Tribolium castaneum: one gene and its partner. The protein of the gene in region 1 interacts with the protein of each later gene in a pairwise test. Links are inferred from orthologs where the notes say so. Each region holds a gene or a part of one and is shown in the gene's direction. Other genes may lie near its edges.

What was found.
Region 2: the proteins of GRIP and coiled-coil domain-containing protein 2-like (region 1) and Arl1 interact in a two-hybrid assay, tested with the Drosophila melanogaster proteins (2 studies listed by BioGRID). The link is inferred for Tribolium castaneum from reciprocal best matches to the Drosophila melanogaster genes GCC185 and Arl1.

Annotation. Positions count from the first base shown.
Region 1 is NC_087398.1:8,154,380-8,158,684, reverse strand, and holds the start of GRIP and coiled-coil domain-containing protein 2-like, read left to right. Parts: upstream 1-1,317; 5' UTR 1,318-1,443; coding exon 1,444-4,305. Other genes in the region: Sym (symplekin), read right to left, coding at 1-20, 69-355, 403-792, 837-1,033, 1,084-1,122.
Region 2 is NC_087402.1:10,511,443-10,514,506, forward strand, and holds Arl1 (ADP-ribosylation factor-like protein 1), read left to right. Parts: upstream 1-1,440; 5' UTR 1,441-1,605; coding exon 1,606-1,609; intron 1,610-1,671; coding exon 1,672-1,888; intron 1,889-1,946; coding exon 1,947-2,058; intron 2,059-2,106; coding exon 2,107-2,316; 3' UTR 2,317-2,516; downstream 2,517-3,064. UniProt on the Drosophila melanogaster protein: GTP-binding protein involved in protein trafficking; may modulate vesicle budding and uncoating within the Golgi apparatus.

The DNA of each region.
Region 1 (4,305 bases):
AATGTCTTGCTGGGAATAACCTGAGAAAAAAATCCTAAAAAATTTTTTTGCGTAAAAATAAAACGCACCTAAATCGGTGAGCATTGGGGTTAATTTCTCCACAAATTCGTAAGCCGCTGGGTGTTTGATAAGTCCAGCGAGTTCGGATTTTAATTTTTTACGCACGGAATTCACTTGAGTTGTTGTTAGAGTTGGAGGTAGGTTATTGTAAAGTGATTCAATAGCTGAGACAACTCGAGACATAAATTCGGCCCGATTTTTTGCAATGTTTGTAACAACGCCCAGGCAGGTTAACAAGTTGGCACTGCTAATATGGGGAGAGCCAAAAAATTTTAAAAGTAACTCAAACAAGGTACTAAAAAATTCAATTAGAAATTTGCGAATTTAAAAAAAAATAAATACTTTGCTTCCTCTTCTAGTTTTCGCCTCCGCGCCAATTTTAACGTCAGAGGAACATCATCGAGTGAGAAGTCGTTCGGTTTCTTGTTCTCTTCCTGGTCGGGATAAGTTTGCAACAACACAACACATTCTAAAAATTTCACTGAACTAGTCCTAATGCCGTCATTGTCACTATCAATCATATTTGCAATTTCTAATTTTATGGCAGACAATTGCTTCCAGGCGTTTTCCATTTCTTCTGTAATTACAGAAGCCTTGCATAACCAGGCCAACGTTTTGCGATAAATACTGATTAAAGCTTGAATTACGCGCTTTTGCACCGCTATTGACTCATCACATAGTAGCATATGAAGGTTTAGCATTACTTTAGGTAAAAGAGACTCGCGCATTTTGCTAAAACAAAAGTTAAGTAACCAATTAAAATGCATAAAACCTACCATAACTCTTCAATAAAACCCACTAGCGCTTTTTTCACGTCCCCATTCCTATCAGTCGTGAAATTAAGCATGTTTTGTAAAAACTTTGGCAGCAAATGGGGCGACTTCCGAATCAAAACTTCTTGCAATTTGTGGAAGTATTCAAGCTTTTCTGCAGCAGAGCGGGACACTGCAGCGCTATTTATCCATTGGGTCACCTAAAACGCGTCTCTTTACTACCGAAATCAACTAAATCTCGGTTTTTTACTAAATCCTCGTCGGAAACTTCGTTCATGGTAAAATCCATGTCGAGAGGATTTTACAACCAAAAATGACGCAATTGTTGCCACTAAAGCAACGAAATTTCGAAAACAAAGCTAGTTTTATCTAAAGCGTTAAATTAATTGAAAATGAGAGCCAATCATCCATTTTTGGAAAGCCAAAGATTGAGGTTATGGCAGAAGTGACGTGAACATGTTACCAAAAAACAGTAACTTTTCCGCTTTTTGTTGGCGACTTTTGCTGTCAAAATACTATTGATGTGTCAAAATAATAAAAAATTATTAAAATACAATGTAATTGCTAATTACTTGGAAATTACAATACAATAGATTAAGTAACTATCGAGATGGAATCGAATACGCCATCCGAAAGTGGCAAGAAAATCGTTTTGGAGAATTTATCGAAAGAGGAATTGGTTAAACGGTGCGAACGGCTTTTGATTCTCGCCCAGAAGGCCAAACAGGCGAAGGACGCGCTCCAGGAGGAAAATAACGAGCTGAAAAATAGGCTAAAATCGGAATCTGGAGATGCCACAACTGCAATTATCGAAAATTTGACCCAACAGAAGTTGCAGTTTGTTACCACGATTGAAGACTTGAAGAGCCAAAATGCCGCTTTGGTGAATAAAGTGCAAAACTGCACGCAAGACGCACGTCTGTGTGAGGAGAAGGATAGGCTTGAAAGCGAGAATATTTCGTATAAAAGGCAAATCAAGCGTTTGACGGATGAAAATGAGCAGCTGATTACGCATCTGGAGTCTCTGGAAAAGCAACTCGAAGAGTGCAAAAACCTGGGACTTGAACAGCAAAATCAGCTGCTGATGTTGGAAGAGGCGAATCAAAAGTTACGGAGTGATGACACAAGTGATAAGTCTGCAGAGTTGCAGAAGATGCTTAGTATTAGTTTAGAGGAAGTTAAGAAGTTGCAAGCTGAGAATAACACAATGAGGGAGAAAATTGACGTGCTCAAGACGAATCTGGGGGAGAAGGATAAGAACATTTTAACGATAGGCCAAGAGTTGCAGGAAAAATTGAAATTGGTCGAGGATTTAGAAAAAATCAAAAATGAAACAAGAGAAAATGTGGAGTTGGTTGAGAAACTTAAAGGGAGACTGAAATTTTATCACTCAAAAGTTGTAAAACTGGCCGGTAATGTGAAGGTTTTGAAGGAAAATAAAAACGAGGTTTTGCGTTTGCTCAAAACGTACTCACATCAAGTGGAAGAATGGAAAGAACAGTTGGGTGTAGCTTCAAAAAAGTTGTGCCAAGAAATTAGTGATATCAAAGTACAGAACTCTGAATATCACAAGGAAATTGAAGGTTTGAAAGAAAGTAATGCAAAATATCTGAAACAACTTGAGGCACATAAAACCGACGACGAGAAAAGTAAAGAACTTGGCGAGTTTGAGAGAATTTCCAAAGAACATAAGAAATTGATTGAAGAAAATCAAAGATTGTTACAACTTCAACTTGACTACCAGCAAACTGTTGAAACGCTCACTGTTGAAAAGGAGAGTCTGCTTGAGAATTTGTCTCAATTGGAGGAAAGACATCAGGAAGAAATCAAAGTTTTTGACGACCAAAGCAAGAAAGACACAATTGAGATCAAGAACAGAATCGAAGAAAATGAAAAAATTTGCATTGAATACCGAAAAGTCATCTCCAAGCTGGAGGAGGATCTAGATTTAAACTTGAGGGAGCTAAATGATGCGAAGCAGAAGAATTACAGTCTTCAAGAAGCACTTGAACATTCAAAAGAAACGGAGAGGCAAATTGCTGATAAAACCAGTGAAGAAATACTTAAACTAGTTCAAGAAAATGCCCAGTTGGTGGAAATGAACCGAAAATTGCAAACCACCCGTGATAACTGCAAACAAGTGGAATGCCAAACTGAGGATTCAACAAACAGCGAACTGGAAGAAGTCGTGTCAGGTTTGAAGAGAGAAAATTCCGAACTTTTGGCCGAAATGAACGAAATGAATCAAGCACTGAAAGAAAGAGGAGAGACTATTTCCAAATTGCAATCTCACTGCGAAGAAGTTATGAAAAAATTGCAATTGTATGAGACACAAGCCAACAAAAACGTTGACAACATATCCCAAAAGGAGGAAATAATTAAAAAACTTGAAGACGAAATCGAGCGACTTAAAGCCACGAGTGACTTAAACTCAAACACCTCCGAAATCAGTGATTTGAAAAACGAAATTGAGAATTTGAAAGAACGGTTAAACTCGAATCTTGATTCAAGTTACGCCGATAGCGAGTGCATGTCCACGTCGACAATTTCAAGAACGGAGGAATCAAACAGAATGAAAGATCTGGAAGGGTCTTGGGAGGAAAGATACGGAAAACTACGAAACTTGGCCGTGAAACTGAAAGGGAAAGTTCGTGACTTGTCCAACGAATTGGTGAAGGAGCAAAACGAGAAGAACGATATTCAGCAAAAATGTGCCAGTAACGTGAAAACCATCGCAACTTTGCAAGCCCAGTGCGATAAATTACAAGACGAATTGGACGAAAACAAAAAACAAATAAAGGAATATTCCGCCCGATTGGATTCGACCCTTGCTGAAGTTTCCAAAGATAAGCAAAAACTGAGCGAAAACGAGGAGATAATCACCATACTCAAGAAAGAATTGGAAGAGTTAAACCAAGAGAAAGTCACGACTGAAGCCTGGAAGAAGCAAATAAGCGGCAAAGTTTCGACGTTTAGAAAGGAACTCGAAGCGAATAAGGTTTTGAAGAAGGAATACGAGGCCAAAATCGCCAAACTCACCTCGGACTTGGAGGCCAAAGAACAGGCGCTCAAGGCCGAGAGCGAGTACCACCAACAAACGAAAAATTCCCTTGAACATTCCAATATCGAACGCAAGAAAAACTCCGTCCTTAACCTGGAAATGCAAGACTACGAGAGGAGTGTCAAGGAGTTGTCCCAGAAATTGGAAAAGAAGCAAGAAGAAATCAACAAGTTGAAAAGCCAGCTCGAGTCGCAGAAAAGCACAACAAATGCGGTCCGCGAACAGAACAAGCTTTTAGAAGAACGAGCGGAAGAGATGAAGAGCGAAGTCGGAGCAACACAGGCTGAAATTATCGCTTGTAAGAAGCAAATTTCTGACTTGGAATCGGTCATGTCGAGTAAGGAGAACAAAATTCACGATTTGACCCAAATTTTGGAAACCGTGCGTTCGGAAAATGAGGAACTGTCGACT
Region 2 (3,064 bases), on another chromosome or scaffold:
CTTAAAGTTCGTTATGTTAATAACTTTAAGCGTTTTCGCATAAGTGTTATTCAACATTTTTTTGTTGAAACATTTTAATTTAAAACACGTTGCTACGGGAAGCGTGTTTTAAAATAGTGAAAACACGTTTCTATCATAAACTTGTTTTAAAATAATGTTTGTGATCTAAGATTCAGATATTCAAATAAAGACTTAAAACGTTACCAACAAAAAAACATTTTTTTGTCTACCCCATCAGAAAATATCATTTTTTACCTTCCAAATATCTTATGAAAGTGTACGTCGGGAGAAAATAACATTCATGTTACTAAATATTTTGAAGGTGAAAGATATTTTCTGATGAAGAGGACGGGAAAAATCATGTGTACACCACTGGAGGAAAGCTTTTTCTCTCCCTTAGGTAGATGATTTATCTTCGGTGTCTCCCTTAGTATACAAATACTAGCTATTTCATTCGTTTTGGCAGCACAAATTCACAAAATACATTGCACGATAACTTATTAAAAATAAATTTAATTTGACAAAGCTTTGCATAGCCTAAAAAAATAGCGTAACTTTTTGATGGCCGTAGCACCAATTTGAAGAAAAAAAAATATTCATCAATTTTAGTACAGAGTTGTCGATAGTTATTTTTTAGTTAGTCGATAGTTTATTTTTTCTGTTCTTTCGAAGATTTTTTGTTATAAAAATAGTTCAGAATACTTCCAAATCAATTTAAAGATGTAATTAATTGCTCTGTTGTAAAAATTCATTGACCACAATTTAGTGTGGTAGTGCGATCTGTTTTATAGGAAACTATGTTTTTGCATCTGTATTCACGTTTAAAAGTTTGTTTATCATTTTTATTGCAAAACAGACGTCTTTCACGAACGAGTTTTTTTTACAGCATTTTTATTGACGGTTGTTGCATTAATTGGATTTTAATCTTTATCTTCCAAAATATCTGCATTTTAAATTCCATAAAAATCTGTTACTACAACTTTTCATACTTACTTTTCTTACGTATTTCATGGTTTTGTGGCGGCAGTTAGAGAGAATTCTTTAAACCAGAACACCTAATTTGTGACCTATTTGCGTCAAAAAATGCAAATGAGCTGTTGTTATTTTTTTAAAGCTTTGAAATGGAATTTATGTGGCTTATTTGTGTCATTAATTTTACTTTCTCGTGAGATTTGCTGCTCTTCTATTGTGTTTAATTCGAGAGAAAAGAATTAAGATTTATTATTATTTGAAATGAAAAAAGCGCTACCAATCGTAACACCTGATAGGTTACGGGATTCCCCCACGTCAACTGTACAGTTTTCAATAATTATCCAATTACCCCGTTATTATTAAATTAAGTGTAACGACAGTAATTGCGATAATTACGCAAACATGTGGTTAACAGCCATAATAATTGAAAATTAGCTGTTTTTTTACGTTGTGTTGCGTTACGTAGCAGTTGGCCAGCCTGCACATTTGACAGCTCGCCAGTTTATGTTTACGACACGTCAGGTCGGTGAAAATTTGAGGCTTTAACTTTTTATTTTGAACTAAGTTAAAAAATGAATTAGTGATTTGTTACAACGATCTAATTAATTGCACGTTACACTTAATTTGAAAGCAATGGGTGAGCGATTTGGCTGTTTTCGAGCGATGAAAGTGACTTGGAGGTTATCTAAACATTTGCAGGAGTTTTATTTAGTTATTTTAAAAGCCTTTTGGGGGCTCGAGAGATGCGGATCTTGATTCTGGGCTTGGACGGAGCCGGTAAAACTACCATTTTGTATAGATTACAAGTAGGTGAAGTAGTTACGACTATTCCAACCATTGGGTTCAACGTTGAACAAGTACAATACAAAAATCTTAATTTCCAAGTCTGGGATTTGGGCGGTCAGACGAGTATAAGGTGAGTGCGAGGTTTATTATTTATTAATTAAGCGCGTGGCAATTTGTGTGGGTTTCAGGCCGTATTGGAGGTGTTATTATAGTAATACAGATGCAATTATTTATGTGGTGGATTCGGCCGATAAAGAACGAATGGGAATTTCCAAAGATGAGCTGTTTCACATGCTTAGGGTACTAATTTTGTTTTTCTGGTAGGTAATGTTTTAATTTTTTTTGTAGGAGGAGGAATTAGGAGATGCAATTTTGGTCGTCTTGGCCAACAAACAAGACATTCCAGGTTGCATGTCGTTAAAAGAAGTTCACCAAGCGCTCGGCCTCGAAGCACTAAAAAATAGAACGTTTCAAATATTCAAAACATCAGCTACGAAAGGTGAGGGCTTGGATATGGCGATGGAATGGCTGGCAAATGCGTTAAAAAATAAAAAATAACAGTAAATTATCACACTATATTTCTAGTCTTTAATAATACGTTTTTAAGTTATAATTTTGCTGTTTCTCTAAATTTTATTCACGGCTGGTTTTGTCAGTTTGATTCATTCCAATGTTCATGTTACGTTACGCAAAGTATTTAATATTTCATACATTTGTATCATAGAACTTAATAAATATGGATGTCATTCAAAAACTGATTCCTTGGGTATGTTTATTGTTTTACAATATAAAAATATGATAAATAAATAAAGTCAAGCCAAGCAGCAGCAACAAAATAAATTTTATCCTTAAAATTATTACGGAGGACTAAAACTAGGAGGCGAAACAACCTTTAAAAAGTCAAAAAATTAGTAGTAAATACAAAAATATTTCGAGCCTAAACTATTTAATAGTACCTAAAGCCTTGTGATACGGTTAAAGGAACAGTAAACAGGAGTAGAGAATCAAATTTTCTTCCAAAAAGTCCCTGGAGCCATTTCTTTATTATTTAACGGTTTTAACAATTCGTTAGTTTTTTTTTTTTGGTTGTGTCAAAAATACAAAATACCAATTTCTATTCAAATTCGATTCCGGTGAAAATTACGATTTTTTTATTTTCAGGCTTTTTATTTAATTTAATTTCGGCATATTTGTCAAATTTATTTATATTTTCTACAACTGCGTTATTAATACATTGTCTTTAACCGTATTCATTAATTATTTGAAGCGGACAGAAAGTTTGTAGTTTTTTATACAAGCTGAGTCT